Linked DNA regions of Pelodiscus sinensis. The protein of the gene in region 2 binds, or shares a complex with, the protein of the main gene of each other region. Links are inferred from orthologs where the notes say so. Each region holds a gene or a part of one and is shown on either strand. Other genes may lie near its edges.

Region 1 (7,791 bases), on a different chromosome or scaffold from region 2:
TTAAAGCGCTCCCTAGATTCCCACTGTCAGAGGCCAGCAACCACCACCCCCTTCCCTTGGACTTAGCAGGCTGTAGGTACCTGGTGCTCCAGAACATCTCCTGTGGGGAAGGGAGCCCCGCCCCTTTTGGTTCTCTGGAACAGCTGAGAGTCTACTGTGCCCTGCCCGAGGGGCTTTGCAGCCCCTTTTGCCTAGCCCACTGTGGCTCGACGCTCCCATCCCCAGGCACTGGGGGCTGGGGCTCTGCCAGGCCCCCGAGGCACAAGGTGAGTTTGAATTAAAAGTTGTTTTCTCACAAGAGTGGCTGTGCTGTGGCTTGGGAGGGGTGGGGGGAGCTGAACCAAGGCCCTCTCCCTTGTGTCTGCTGGGGGCTTGGGTAACTGAATGCAGCCTGGTGCTGGAGGTGGATGGAATTCTGGCTTTGAGGAAGAAGCACTCAATGTAACAGCACTTCCGTCTGGCCTGCCTCCCCCACCTGAGTACCCTGCGTGGTGTCTGCTCGCCCGTGGGCGGCCTGTGGGCTCATACCCCATCCTGGCACTGGGGTAGCTCTGCCCCTCTAGCAGCTGCCAGAGAAGAGCTCACTAGACTGCCACTCGAAAGGCCCCTGTCCCTCGTGGGAGCCAAGGTGAACACCCGGCTCCCTCCCAGGGCACAAGCTAAAGCTTGTGTTCCCTCTGACCCTTCCATTCTACGATGCCTTTAAGCACCCTGCCACCTTGTTTTGAAACCAGCCGCTCCCCCGGGGCCTGACGAAGCAGGCGGCTCTGGGCTGCTGAGGCCTTGAAGCACTAGTAGGGAACTCAGCAGAAGGCAGAACCTCCCCTTCCGCTAACTCAGGACATAGCACAGTGTAAATATACAGAGCACCCCTGTGGATTAAGATCTGCCAATACCATGTGAGACTGAAGACAGTGGGGCTCAGCTTAAGCGCTAGCAAGCTAGCTCAACCTAAGCCTGGGAGCAAGACAGAGCGCTGGAAGGGAGGAAGGGAACAAAGTTTCTCAAGAACCATTCAGCAGGGGTGGGAAGAGATACCTCTGCTCTCCCTTTCTGAAAGCTCAGCCATTGTCTTCTGAAGGGGTTTGTCTCGTGACACAGTGCCCATAGCTCGCACACCAGTGCACCGTGGACTGACCCAAGCTTGCTACAACTGGTGGAGTTGTTGCATGCTCTTGCACGGAGCTCAGCGCCTGTTGAGCCTTGTTTTATACACTCTGCCCACAGAAGATTAGCGCGCTCTTTATTTCAATAAGTTAACACATAGCATTGACCAATCTGGCTGTCCCACCACTATCACGAAGGCTGTGCTCAGGACAGGGCTGGCAGCACAAAGACTTTGAAGTCCCAGCAAGAGTTTTCCTCGTTCTCTCCCCAAAGCACCAAGCAGTCCCGTAGGAATGTGCTTAGTTGGTGAGGGTGATCAGAGCCTCCACCACGTTCCCCATATGCTCCCGCAGACTGCGCTCTGCTGCTGCCCGCGAGATCTCCATCTCGTTCATCTGCAGGGAGGGAGCCAAGGGAAGAGATGCTGCACCACAGGCCTCGCTCAAGGCTTGCTGCTGCAGCATCACTGAAGCTGGCACCAAGCGTACACATTTGCTGTCTCTGCTGCACTGCAGTGCGCCAGGAACACAAGTGACTTTTTACAGCCCTTTGTCCTCCGGCTGCAGTGCACGTATTCTGAGCCCCCGAGACTGAGTAAATAACTTGACTGAGATCTGGGCTTGGCCTGCCCCAGCCTCGCTCTTGGCACCACTTCCTGCCATACTCACAATCAGCTCCAAATCTTCCTTCTTGATTGTAACCTTTGCCAGTTCTTTTTCCCTGTGACAAAAGGAATCAGAAGATAAAGTACCAATCTTACAGACTCCCCTTTGCAGAGCAGCTCAGTCACAACTGTCAAATACAACCAGAGCACTTGCAGTAGCTCTTTGCTGAGACAAAGCCACTGTTATTGAGACTGGCCATGGATAAGCAGAAAGTTTAACTAGAAAAACTACCCAGAGCCTTTAGAGGAAGATTCTGCATGTGCAGAACCAAGCCACATAGTACCGGACCAAATGGCTTAGGACAGGGGTGTGGGCTGCTGACCCATTACAAAAAGGATGTGGACACATTGGAGAGGGCAACCAAAATGATTAGGGAGCTGGATCACATGACCTATGAGGCGAGGCTGAGGGACTTGGGTCTGTTTAGTCTGCAGAAGCAAAGAGTGAGGGGGGATTGGATAGCAGCCTGCAACTTCCTGAAGGGAGGTTCCAAAGAGGATGGAGAGAGGCTGTTCTCAGTAGTGACGGATGGTAGAACAAGGAGCAATGGGCTCAAGTTGAGGTGGGAGAGGTCCAGGTTGGATATTAGGAAAAACTATTTCCCTAAGAGGGTGGTGAAGCACTGGAATGGGTTCCCTAGGGACATAGTGGAGTCTCCAACCCTAGAGGTGTTTAAGTCTCGGCTTGACAAAGCCCTGGCCGGGTTGATTTAGGTGGGATTGGTCCTGCCTAGAGCAGGGGGCTGGACTTGACCTTCTGAGGTCTCCTGCAGCTCTGTGGTTCTAGGATTCTCTAAGTTCTACAGGAGAGGTGCAGGGAGCGGTTACCTCTCTTGCCTTGCCTTCTGCTCTCGGGATCGGCGGTCTCCAATCACGGACATGGCCTGGGGGAGAAGAGGGAAAGGGGGGGGGAGCCACGGCTCAGGAAGGCACAGCCAGGCACAGCTGGACCCTTGATGGAGGAGCCCAGAACATCCCGCAGGGCCCCCGCCCGTGCCGGCCCCGCCCCTGTCCAAGCCCCGCCCCCCGCTCGGCCCCGCCCCTGTCCAAGCCCCGCCCCTTGTTCCGGCCTCGCCCCCTGTTCCGCCCCTGTCCAAGCCCCGCCCCTGTTCCGGCCCCGCCCCTGTCCAAGCCCCGCCCCCTGTTCCGGCCCCGCCCCTTGTCCAGGCCCCGCCCCCTGTCCCCGGCCCCGCCCCGCACCGTCTCCAGGTTGGAGCTCTGAATCTCCTTCTCCTCCGCGTAGTCGGTGACGCGCTCCAGGTCGGCCGCGCCGCTGTCGTGCTTCCGGGGCTTCTCGGCCGCGCGCCCCCCCGCGCCCTCCGCGCCGCCCCCGGCCCCGTTCGGCTCCGTCTCCAGCTCCAGCTCCACGTCGCCCTCCGCCGCCATCGCGCCCGGCCCCGCTTCCGCTTCCGGTCACGGGACCTGGCCGCGCGCGGCGCCGGAACCAGCGAGACGCGCCTGTGAGCCCAGAGCGTCCGGGAGGGGAATCGCCGGCCCCGCCCCCCGCCCCGCCCCCTTTTTGTAGGCCCGGCACAAACCCCGCGGGCAAGTGTCGTGAGCGCGGCGGCCCCTCCTCCCCCCGCCTCAGCCTCTTGGAGAGGGGGCGGGGCGGGGTCCTGGGAGGGGAGGCGGGGGGGGAGGGGGAAGGGCTCTGGGAGGGGAGGCGAGGGAGGGGGGGAGGCGGGTGCGGGGGGGGAGGGGGAAGGGCTCTGGGAGGGGAGGCGGGGGGGAGGGGGGGAGGGGGAAGGGCTCTGGGAGGGGAGGCGGGGGGGGAGGGGAGGCGAGGGAGGGGGGGAGGCGGGTGCGGGGGAGGGCTTCCCTCCCAGAGTGCTTGCTCTAGTGCAGTTCTGGCACTCCGAGTACCTCGGTGCATGGGCAGCGAGTTATATGGTGTCCAGGCTCCAGGACTATTCAGAGCCAGGGCTCAGTGCACACTGCTGAACAATAGGTCACAGCTAGTTATATAGGATGCTCAATAGGCAGATCAAAGTGGTGCCGGGGGGGGGGGGGATCCCAGACCCCCCCAGATAGATGCTAACAGTAAGGCAAGATAAGAACAGTAATAGAAAGTTATCTCGTGTTTCCAGTACAAGAAGTATTTAAACAAAGCAATAGAGATGTAGCCTGTTAGTCTGGACATCAGTTATCAGTGAAGTGGTGCTATGTCTGTCAGCTCCAAGAAGGGATCTCTGCGGGATGCGGTCCATCTGGGGATTAAAGCAGAGACATTAGCACCATTGAATGTGTCTTGTCCTGCCTCCCATCCTGGGGGATGGCTTTCCGTTGATGGGCTGGACTGGTGGGGAAGGGGAATAACCATGTACTGTGTTCATGTGCCATTCCCAGAGTCTGAATTTAGATTGGGCTCTTAACAGAATATCAGCCTGCCTCAGAAATGTTCACCCTACAGAGTCTTACCAGAGAGTCCCCTGGGCACAGCAGCCCGCCTGTGTTCTGAACGGTCAGTTCCCCCAATCCCCAAGTATTCAGGTAGTTCCCAATCCCAAGAGTCCCACCTCCTCTCCCAGGTCACTGTGCTCAGATCTCGCAGCAAAGGCAGCGCGGGTAGCCGGCCCTGCGCTCTGCTAGGGAAGGAGTTATGAACTATGAAATGAAACGTGCTGTTTACAGGCTCAGGTAGGCCACGCACACACCCAAGGGTGCAGTCTCTAATTCCAAGAGGTAACAGCTGTAGAATCTGTCCGCACTGGACTTCCTTTAGGGCCGGGGGGTCTCTGTTTCTGCTTCTTAGAGATGAGAACCCTCCTGTCTGCTGCGATTCTTTGCCCTTCCAGAGCTCGGGCTGGTGGGAGGGGCTTTCTTGCGCACAGCACCCTTGTGGCTGCCCCGCGCCGCCACCATGTAGCACCCAGCCACAGATTGCAGGCGGCAGCTGCAGAGTCGGCCCATGCACAGGCCCAGTCGGATCCCTAATGGCGGAGACCGGCCTAAGCCCCAGAGCAGCACATGCCCCGCCCCGCCCGAGTTCACTTGCACCAGGCCACTGAATATCCTGGCTGGCCACAGAGAGGCCCAGGCCACGCTGATTCCCTGTGGCCAGGAGTTCCTGGCTCGGGTGAAGTCTGCCCACCTCTCGGTGTCGTCGGGCCCCTTCCTTGCTGTGTTACGAGAGCCTCCCCCACTTTAGACTCTTATCGCCCTTCCTGTCGGCCTCCCCTCCCTAGAGCCCGCCCAGTCTCCTCGGCCTGTGTTCAGAGGGCAAGTTCCCCTCTCCTGCTAGCGCCTGTCTGCAATGGGGCAGCCGCACCGTGCCCAGAGCCCGGTGACTCCTGAGAGACGCTCCATAGTGTCCTTCCATGCCAAGCAGGTTCGCCCCTCTGACGCGGCCGGGACCCGAGCAGGCCTTGGCCGTGTGGGCCGGGCGCCGCAGGCACAGGGAGTGGGGAGTGGGGAGCGGGCACGGTGAAGACGACTCTTAGCAGCTGCTGGCCCTGGGCTCAGAGAGCCATCGGTCGAGTGCTAGGCGGGACCCGCCTCGCCAGCTGGTGGCTGGGCTGTGTCTGTCTCCTGGTCCCAGGGGCTCGGCCAGGCACAGACACGGCGGCCAGAGGAGGCTCTGCTCTCACTGCGGGCTCTGGAGGTGCTTCCGCCATCGCGCTGCCTGCCTGGCGTGTGCCCAGCTTCTCTCCAGGGATCGCTAATCCCTGCGTCTGCGGGGTAAGAGGGTTAAGGGGACTGATTTAGTGCCCAGTGTAATCACTCGATGAAAGACAAGAGTCGCCCGGAGATCATGCATGGGGGTGGGTCTAGTACCAAGATTCAGCCAATCAGAGCCCTCTGCCTAATTGGCTTCCACTTGAGATAGCTTTTCAGGAGCAGGGAGCTGTGGGGGCATCTCCAGGGAGGGGCTGGCAGAACCCTCAGGCCCCGGCATCCCCCGTCTGATGACCAGGAGGCTGGTGCAGCACATCCGGCATCGCCACGGGGGAGCCAGAGACGTCAGGCCTGCAGCGGGATGGTGGCCAGCTGCTGGAAGGCACAGGTGAGCCAGAGCGAGGCCTCTCGCGGGAGCCACTGCGATCGCCCTGTGGCAGCTCCAGGTCTCGTCCCTGAGCCCCGGATCGCCGCCGGGGCGCGGGGCAGCGGCTGCAACAGCCGGGAGCTGGCCTGGATGCCATGGGAGAGGCACCACTGAGCAGGGCAAAGCCTCCTGGTCTGCTCAAACCTCAGGTCTCCGTGCTGGCCCCAGGGCAGCCGAGTTTGTCCCATCCCAGGGCTGGCCCGGGCCCCCTGCTCCGCTCCCGAGCTGGCCTGGCTGTGGGGCTCAGGGCTACGGGGCAGTGTCTGCCGTGGGGATGCTCTCAGTAGCCAGGGTGGCAGGCTCCTGGTGCCTGCCGGACACTGGACCGGCCCCGGCTGCCCGTGGGAAGAGCCCCCCTCTGGTCACGACAGATTGGACACACTCGTTCCCCCTCCTGCTCTCTGATGCTCGGTGGCTCCCTCCACTGAAGTTCCCTGGCCTGCCAGCCGCACGTGTCTGGGTGGTTTCTCTGTCCGGCTCCTGGCCCCGCCTTGTCCCTCCGCCCAAGCGGGGCCCAGGCAAGGCCTAGCTAGGGACGTGTGCTGGACAGCCGTCCCCCCAGCCACTGCCTCTGCGGCTGCACCCCACAAGCACCGTCCTGCTTCCTCCCGCTGCAGGCGCGCCGGGGCAGGGGGGGCGTCCGTTCCCGCGGGGCTGTGCCTGCTTAAGCATGTCACTGGCAAGCCTCCCCTCCACGGAGCCAGATAACGTGGGGCTGGAGCAGGGGCTCCCCCAGCAATTCGTGGTGGGGGGGGCGCTCCAGCCACCTGCCGCCCTTTAATCAGTTAGCTGGTTAAACGTAACATGGAACCAGTTTGCTCACTAAAGCGGATTTTACGCCCTGCTTCCTGAGGGGACTGCTAACGTGTGCCAGGTTTCAGAAGCTTGTAACGGGGCGGGTGTGGCAGGGACAGCGCAGCGGGGAGGGCGTAGTGTGGCACCAGTGTGGTGGGGAGGGTGTGCAGGTGTGATGGGGAAGGTGTGGTACAGAGGGTATGGGTGTGGGTGCAGAGGGGAGGGCACCGGTGTCACGGAGTCGACACAGGTGTGGCGGGGAAGGGGCGGCTGTGGTGTGGGTGTGGCAGGGAGGGAGCAGGTATGGCAGGGAGGGTGCGAAGCAGGTGTGGCAGGGAGGGCACAGGTGTGGCAGGGAGGGTGTGGGTGTGGCAGGGAGGGCATGGGTGTGGCACAGGTTTGGCAGGGAGGGTGTGGGTGTGGCGGGGAGGGTGTGGGTAGTAAAACAAAAAAACCGCCATGTAGCACTTTATAGGCTGACAAGATGGTTTATTAGGTGATGAGCTTTCATGGGGCAGACCCACTTCCTCAGATCATATTCCCTACGAAATATGGGGAATTTTCATGGGTCTGCCCCACGAAAGCTCATCACCTAATAAACCATCTTGTCAGCCTATAAAGTGCTACATGGCGGTTTTTTTGTTTTACTACCCACACCCTCCCCGCCACACCCGCACCACACCCTCCCTGTTTTGCCAAGATCACTAACAGGGCTACCTCTCTAAAACCACTTAGCTGCTTCTAATCCACTAAGAAACCTGCTACCTGCGAATTCCTGCCCTAAGCAGCTGTTCTTACCCCCGTACCAGCGGCATGGTAGAGCTGCTCTTCCCTCTGGCCTGGGTCTACGGCTTGTCAGCGAGAGTCCTTTAGAGTCTTTCATTTTCAGGTTTCTTCCTGTGTCCCCTCTTCTGGTGGGCCAGGCAGTTCCCAAGGCCGGATGAAGATACAGACCTGACTGTTTTCCATTCCTTAAAAAGACTTCCTCTGGGGTGGGAACCCTTTGTTCAGTCTCTCCAGCGCCAGGGAGAAATGCCAGGTTGGGGATGGAGTCCAGTACCAGGTGCCTGGGCACGTTATTTCTAGGGCCAAGCACATTTGGGCTCACAGGACAAATAAAATGATTCCTGGCTGGTTGGCTTGAGTACCGAGCCATTAAGTTTCTAAAGAGTCATTGCTGCCC
Region 2 (8,229 bases):
GCAGATGCTAGAAGAGCCCCCTAATTTCTCATTGATTTCTCCTTGCTCTCAGCAGAGGAAGTTCTCTGCATATGCAGACCCTATAGTTACACTGAATGATACAGTAGTCTCCATATAGAACAAAAAAGCAGCTGCATAGGCCACTTCACTGCTGCATGTTCTTTTAATTTCAGAGCAATTGGGACGGAGAACCACAAGAAACATACATTGTGCTGCTGCTGCCTCCTCCTTAGATTTAAAGGATCACCGAACACTAGGAAGAAGTCATTCACAGTACAGTCAGTCCCCGAGTTACGCGGATCTGACTTATGTCGGATCCGCAGTTACGAACGGGGATTTTCTCGCCCCGGAGGACTGGAGCGGCGGGACGCCTGGTCCCGCTGCCCACCTCCTCCAGAGCGAGAAAAGCTGCTCCCCGTCTCCCTGGTCTGCTGGGGGAGCCAGCAGACCAGGGAGACGGGGAGCAAAGCAGTGGAGGACCCGGGCCGGACCCGCGGCGCTGATCTGCAAGCGCCGCAGGTCCGGCCCAGGTCTTCCGCCGCTTTGCTCAGCGTCTCCCTGGTCTGCAGATCTGGAAGCGCCACAGTCCGGCCTGGGTCCTCCGCCGCTTTGCTCCGCGTCTCCCTGGTCTGCTGGGGGGGGACACAGCTAGTGCCCCCCCCCCCCAGCAGACCAGGGAGACGTGGAGCAAAGCCCGGTGCCTGTGGTAGAGCAGGTGGGGCGCTGCCGGTTGGTCCCGCAGCACCGCTCCTTGGCGCTACTGGACCAACCCGGCAGCACCCCAGCTGCTCTGCCCCAGGAGTCCTGATTCAGCCGCTGCTGATCAGCTTCAGCAGCGGCTGAATCAGGACGCCTGGGGCAGAGCAGATGGGGTGCTGCTCTGCCCCAGGCATCCCCAAGTTAGCCGCTGCTGAAACTGACCAGCGGCTGACTACAGGAAGCCCGAGGCAGAGTTGCTCTGCCCCGGGCTTCCTGGAATCAGCTGCTGATCAGTTTCAGCAGCAGCTGACTTGGGGACGCCTGGGGTTCTTAAGTTGAATCTGTATGTAAGTTGGAACTGGCGTCCAGATTCAGCCGCTGTTGAAACTGATCAGTTTCAGCAGCGGCTGAATCTGGATGCCAGTTCCGACTTACATACAGATTCAACTTAAGAACAAACCTACAGTCCCTATCTTGTATGTAACCCGGGGACTGCCTGTACTCTAAACGGGAGTAGGATTGACATAAAATTCACTATTAAATCTCTATGAGGGAGCAGTAGTGGGATGTTCTACTTGTAACAGAATCCCCAAACTCAGAAACCACTGAAAAAGCAAGAGTACAGAGAAAATGGCAAAGCTCCAGTAGAGAGATGGTGCAGCATGGCACACTCATGGAGTACTGCTTATAACTATATCCTGCCAAGAGATCCCAGTGTGCTCTGCCCGGATGCACACAGACATACATATAAAATATCCAAGCCCAAACAACAGCTCTGCCTGATTCACAATCAACAGAGAAAAGAAAAGAATCAGAGAAAAGCCAAGCTATACAAATCTGTGAGAGAGAGAGAAGAGACAAAATTCTAGTTCCACCAACAAAGTAGCTGACAATGATTTTGCCAACTGTGGGCTCACCTTTGCTGATCAAGCTTATCGCCCTTCCCACATACTTGCCTATGCCAAATAAAGCAACTTTGACTAGCTCCCAAGAACATGGGAAAAGAAATAGGAATCTGTCATTTCTATAGGGCCAGGAATCCATCATTTCTATTGGGCAATATTTTATTCATACATATTTCCATAAAATAATTGCACATTTGTACCTGAAGTGTGTTAAGTTTCGGGACCTGTTTTTTCAATCTCTCAGCTTTACTCTCTCAGTCCCAAAAACCATTTAAGGTGTCTGAAACTAGACATGAGAAATAAGATACCTAGGTTGCTTGATAAAAACTTGGTGTATGTGACCTTACCCCAAAAAGTTAATAACAAATGGTAAAGGGCTAAAAACTCTAAGTACTTCAACTACCATTTTACCCTGCCTTAAGCAGCCAAACTGGAATAGTAATATCTGTCACTTACATAACACTTTCCAAACAGTAATGATTTGCAACACCACTTCTGGAGCCCTCTTATTTCATGGGGGAGAAACTAACACACAGAGGTGAGATGACTTGCACAAAGTCACATAAGAGGTCAACAGAGCTGGGAACCAAATCCAGGTCTCATGACTTCCAGCCCTGTGTTCAGAAAGCTAGACCATGTTACCTCTGTATAGCAGTAGAACCAGTATTTCATTTACTACATTTAAAACCTCTATGCCACATTTTCATAAGAGAACCAGAAAGGGAGGTCCTAAACAGATAACACTGCAAAATCATTGTTAGGTGCGAAGACTAGCTTTTTGTTCCATCCACATCCTGCAATCACAACAAGTTCTAAATAAATTTTAAAGGCTACATCAAAAGCAAATACTCGTGGAAATTACACCATCTTTTCAATCTTCCCTACAAAGCAGTCACACAAAGCTGGTCAAGGCCAGGCAGCATTTTAAGACAAAATATTATTTCCATTGTTGTTCCATTGGGGACTTCTCTGAGTGACTTCCCAGATACCAATTTGATGACCCTGCTTCTATCTTCATCATCATTATTATTATTATGAATAGGGGCTAAAGAAATTGAATGCTAAAGTTAATTCACTTGCATACGATTTTTTCAAGATAGTTTCACAGAAAAGACCTCTACACAAGACGATAAGCTACATTTCTCAAAAGCAGAGTGGAATGAACCAGCTCTTTCCACCTACTATTTCTGCAATAAAGCAGATAAAGTGAGACAAGGACCAGAAGAGTTGTTTTTGGCATGGGGGGGGGGAGGGGAGAAGAGGAGGTTCCTTCCAAGAGCAAGGTGCCGAGCTTCCTGCAGTTCAGGGTCAGCGTTTCGCAGACACACACAGTGTAACGCTACACCCCAGCTGAAAACCAACAGCTTCATCTCCTCCGGCCGGCTGCACACACGCGCTCTCCCCAGGACAAGCCACAATTCAGCAGCCCGCGGGCCGGGCTCGGAGCGGCGGGAGAAGGGGAGGCGGCTGCGTGGGGCGCCCCACGCGGGCGCTGGGCGGAGAGTGGCAGGTCCCGGCGCGTGAGGGCGGTTGCACTGGGATTAACGTCTCGGCGTTTGCGCAGCTGCGCGGGAGAATCGCGCCACCACTGCCCGGGCCGCTCGCTCGCTCGCGCACACTCCGGGCCCGGGCCGGGCTCCGCGGCAGGGCACAGCGGGCCGAGGCGCGCCGGCCGGGGAGGCCGCTGTCACAGCGAGGCCGGGCGGGAGCCGCACTCACCCCTTCATGGTGCGGCCTGGCGGGGCCGGGATCCGCGCTCGGTGCGTGCGGGGCCGGCGATGCGGCTCCGGCCTCCTCCTCCTCGGCGCTGGCGGTTCGTGCTGCGGCAGCTCCCCCTGCACATGGGCCTCGGGCCGCCCGCGCGCCGCGCTCCGCCCCGCCCGCCGACGTGACCCCCCCTCACCTCACGTCCTCCTCCCCCCCCCCTCGGCGCCTGGCGGCGGCGTGACTGGACCAGCGCTGCGCGGCACCGCCCACGTGACCTCTTCCCGAGTCGCTCCGCGGGAAGAGCCTTAGCCTGTCACGTGGGCCGAGGGAGGCCAATCGCCTGCCTCCGCATCTATGACCCGTCATTCCAAAAAAAAAAAAAAAGCATTCAAAGCTAGCCGGGCTCCCGAGCCCCTCATTTCCGGGGGAGGAGGGATAACACTCGTGACGCGGCGCATGCGCCCTGGGAGCGACTGATCAGCTGATCGCTGTCGCCTGCTATTGAAGAGAAGCGGCGGAGCGAAGTGGTTCAGCTGCCCCCGCCCGCCCAGGTGAGGCCCCCCCCCCTCCCCACCCCCCAGCAGAGGCGGGAAGCCTCGAGCCGGGCGGGTGGCGCGGGGGCTGCCGGGCCGGTAGCGGGGTTGTGGGGCGAAGGGGCCGCGCAGCGACGGCTGCGGGGGGGGCCGAGCCTGGGAAGCCGAAGCGCCGCCAGGCAGAACGTGGGGCTGGAGGCGGCAGCGGATCCATGGGGGGGGGGGGGCGCAAGTAGCGCCAATGAGCGCGACAGGCCCGCGGCGCAGGCTGACCCCGCGCGGTTTCTACGACTGAGGGTCCCTCGGGAAGGACCCGGCCCCGCAGTTTCGGCCTTTCATTTCCGGAATGGGGAAGAGCGAACGTGAAAGGCCTCTCGAGTCTCTTCAGTCTAGCGCCACATGGCCTGTGTGTCTCCTGCTCCTGTGACAGGGGCGCGCTCAAGTATCCGCATCTCGTTGTCGTTTCCCTTTCTAGCGCTTTGTGCTTAGCTCGTCCGAGCCCCATTCTTAACTGAAGGGTTCAGATGTTGCTGTTGGCATTGAAGGTCAGCTGATAACTAGGGATGTAAAAAGTTGGTTAAATAGATAACTACGTAATTGCTGAAAATCTCAAGTTACATGTGGTTGGACTGTGCAGTATAAAGTTTAAATAAGCTTTATATTGCAGTGCCTGCAGTGAAGCCTCTTCTCCCTCCCCCAGCCTTTGCTGGCTCTGCTTCAACTTTTGAGCCTCCTCCCAGGGAACTGGCCCTGCCTCTGAGGAGCCAGTGTGTAACTTGTGGTAGGGGGGCGGGGTGAGCCTGCCATGGACAGGGGGTTACTCCAGCCCAGTGGTAGGAGTAGCCCCTGCCTGCGGTGGACCCCACTGGGCTGGAGCAGATCCCTGCCAGTTAACAGGAACCAGTAAGCAATAACCGTTTAAAGTGATGCTTACCGGTTAACCTTTCACAGCCCTACCAGGGTGACTCAGTTCCTTCGGGGGAGTCACTGTATGGCTCCCTATCCAGTGTCCCTCCTACACTCTGTCTTGGCATGACCATAGTAGTGGCTCTCTAATTTTCTTAGCCTTATAAGCTTTAGACCATCTCATTCTGTAATAAGCATCTCCACATGCAGAGCTGTTCCTGAAGAGCTCTATGTGTAGGCCAAGCCCTTCCTTCTTCCAGAACTCTTACACCATGGCTTTGTCTACATTGGCACCCTTTTCCAGAAAAAGGAGTGCCAATGAGACAAGTCGGAATTGCAAATGCCGCGGGGGATTAAAATATCCCCCGCGGCATTTGCATGAACATGGCTGCCGCTTTTTTCCGGTTCGGGGCTTTGCCGGAGAAAAGCGCCAGTCTCGATGGGATCTTTTGGAAAATAAAGCCTTTTCCGGAAGATCCCTTATTCCTGATCCCTTCCTGATCCCATCCTGAAGGGATCAGGAATAAGGGATCTTCCGGAAAAGGCTTTATTTTCCAAAAGATCCCATCGAGACTGGCGCTTTTCTCCGGCAAAGCCCCGAACCGGAAAAAAGCGGCAGCCATGTTCATGCAAATGCCGCGGGGGATATTTTAATCCCCCGCGGCATTTGCAATTCCGATTTGTCTCATTGGCACTCCTTTTCTGGAAAAGGGATGCTAATGTAGACACAGCCCATGTCTAAGGCTTTCTATTTTTTATTGAATATTCCCCTCCTGTTCCTCTGCCTGCACAGACATAGATAGGCCTGAGAGCAATCCTAGATGAAATAATGGAACGGCTGATAGAGAACTCCTTTAACAAAGAATTCAAGGCAGGTGACTAATGGCAGTTGGCATGAATTTATCAAAAATAGATCTGGCTCCTTTGCTAACTTGATATTATTTTTGATTGAAAAAAGTATAATGAAAATACAATACAATTGATAAAGGTCATAGTGTTGATATAACAGGTTTACGTAAGACATTTGACTTGTTCCTGCAAGATATCTTGATTAGTGAATGATAATACAAAATCAACATGTGAAATGGATTAAAACCTGATAGGTCTCAGCATGTAACTGTAAATTGAGACTCATCGGCTACGTCTAGACTGGCATGATTTTCCATAAATGCTTTTAACGGAAAAGTTTTCTGTTTAAAAGCATTTGCGGAAAAGAGCGTCTAGATTGGCACGGACGCTTTTCTGCCAAAGCACTTTTTGTGGAAAAGCATCCGTGCCAATTGAGACGCACTTTTGTGCAAAAAAGCCCCGATCGCCATTTTCGCGATTTGTGCAAAAAAGCCCCAAACAAATCTGAGCTGTCTACACTGGCCCTTTTCTGCAAAAGGATTTTTGCCTGAATGGGAGCAGCATAGTATTTCCGCAAGAAGCACTGATTTCAGACAGTAGGAAGTCAGTGTTCTTGCAGAAATTCAAGTGGCCAGTGTAGACAGCTGGCAAGTTTTTCCGCAAAAACAGCTGCTTTTGCGGGAAAAACTTGCCAGTCTAAACACAGCCATCAAGTGTATCCAAAGGTATCAGTTCTTAGCTCTTCGCTAGACAACTTCTTTTGGAGGAAAAAAATGAATAGTGATTAAAATTTGCAGTTGACAAAAGATTGTGGGAGTAGTAAATGGAGAACATGCCACTGAGATCACTCAGTAAGCTGGGGAAAGATAATGTGTTTCAATTTAGCCAAATGTAAGTTAATAAATGTAGGAACAAAGAGAATAGACCATTCTTACAGGATCAGTGACTATCTTGGGAATCTGACTATGTGGGAAAAACTTTATCAATCATGATGCATAATTAGCTGAATGTCATACTGGTAGGTAACACTAGTCTGGGCTAACTTGATCCTTGGCTGTCTAAATTGGAAAATACAGTATATTACTTGTTTGGCACCGGTACAATTGCTGATGGAATAGTGTCCGGTTCTGGTGTCAACCATTCAAGAAAGACGCTGATAAATTTTAGAGTGTTCAGAAAAAGACCACAAGAAACATTCAAAATAGTAGAAAATGTTCTGTATAGTGAGATGATGTAAGGAGCTCAATCTTTTTATCTTATCAAAGAGAACGTTCAAAGATAATGTGATTACATTTATATGTACCTACAAAGGGAACAGAATTTTGATAATACAGACAGGAATATAGCAGACAGAAATATAACAAAATCCAAGTTGCAGCTAGACTAATTCAGATGGGAAACAAGGTATCAGTTTTTAACATGGTAATTAACCATGGAACCATTCACCAAGGGTTATGGTGGATTCTCCATCACTGGACTTCTTTATCAAAAGTAAATGTGTTTCTAACAGATGCTGTAGTTCAAATACAGCTACTGGGCTTGAAGCAGGAAATAATACAAGGAAAACCACATAAACTCTGTTATACAAGAAGTCAGGTGAAGTCCAGAAGTCTCCGAAGAAATTATCTCTGAGTGAAAGGTAAAGGTCCCATCTTTAAAGTAGCACAGAGATTATACAGCATCCCACCTATTGTCTTCCCTCGGTTAAAACAAGTTTGACTATGGTGGGTATGAGCTCCTGCTAGAGAGGAAGAACAAAAAAATATTTTTTCCCCTTCGACACAACTTAAATTTTCTTTTGACTTGAAAATATTACTGACTTTTCTTCCTGCATAGTCAAGTCCACATGACCCATTGGAGGGGAACAGTGTCAAGAAAAACAGAGAATGGATTGAGATGGAATGTCATGCCTGTATGTTTCACCCTTACTCACTATGTGTTTTGAGAAGTGTGACTGCTTCTGAGGGGTAGAGTAGATAGAGGAAATAAGAATAGATGTCTGCCCTGGTGGTGCAGCTGTCAACACCTACTGTATTTTAGAGGAACAGTGGGTCCAAAATTTCTTGATCCTCTTTTCTTAGAGGTGATCAGTCACTGTGTGCGCATTGGAGTTAAAAGTGACCTGCTCAGGAAAGGAAATTGGCCTATGTCTGCATTATTTTTTTCATAGTATACACAGTTGTCCTGAAACTTTTTTCTGCTTTTTTTTCATTAAGTAGAACATATGGAACTGACACATTGTATCAGAGCAATGGTCTTTTAGTTTAATATCATGTCTGACAGTGGCTCGTACCAACTGCATCAGACGAACCACCCTGCAATATAGACAAAAAAGGGATATCCTGTCCTCAGGAGTCTTAACTCCTGGTTAATGTTCTGCAGTTTAAATGTTTGTTCTTCCTAAAACTCTTTTTAATTGCATCTTTGTATTATCTTTTTAAAGGTCTTATCCAGAGATAGGGAAAAGACCTCTGGATTAGACCTTTTTTGGGTTGGGGGCTGCTGACCCACAGAAAAAACAAACCCTCACTGACGTGGCCCCCGACTGCAAAACAGAAAGATGCTTCTCACATTTCCTTTGCGTGTGAGAGCCTAGGGGGCCCCAGCTAGTAGATTTTGTGTGCTCCAGC

The links.
Region 1: NAA50 (region 2) and HYPK share a complex: the UniProt entries of both Homo sapiens proteins name them as parts of the N-terminal acetyltransferase E (NatE)/HYPK complex. The link is inferred for Pelodiscus sinensis from reciprocal best matches to the Homo sapiens genes NAA50 and HYPK.

Annotation. Positions count from the first base shown.
Region 1 is NW_027466027.1:113,599-121,389, reverse strand, and holds HYPK (huntingtin-interacting protein K), read right to left. Parts: upstream 3,250-7,791; 5' UTR 3,158-3,249; coding exon 2,972-3,157; intron 2,656-2,971; coding exon 2,600-2,655; intron 1,828-2,599; coding exon 1,776-1,827; intron 1,503-1,775; coding exon 1,407-1,502; 3' UTR 1,227-1,406; downstream 1-1,226. Other genes in the region: SERINC4 (serine incorporator 4), read left to right, coding at 5,748-5,774. UniProt on the Homo sapiens protein: Component of several N-terminal acetyltransferase complexes. Inhibits the N-terminal acetylation activity of the N-terminal acetyltransferase NAA10-NAA15 complex (also called the NatA complex).
Region 2 is NC_134711.1:141,203,772-141,212,000, reverse strand, and holds the start of NAA50 (N-alpha-acetyltransferase 50), read right to left. Parts: upstream 3,495-8,229; 5' UTR 3,332-3,494; coding exon 3,324-3,331; intron 1-3,323. UniProt on the Homo sapiens protein: N-alpha-acetyltransferase that acetylates the N-terminus of proteins that retain their initiating methionine. Has a broad substrate specificity: able to acetylate the initiator methionine of most peptides, except for those with a proline in second position.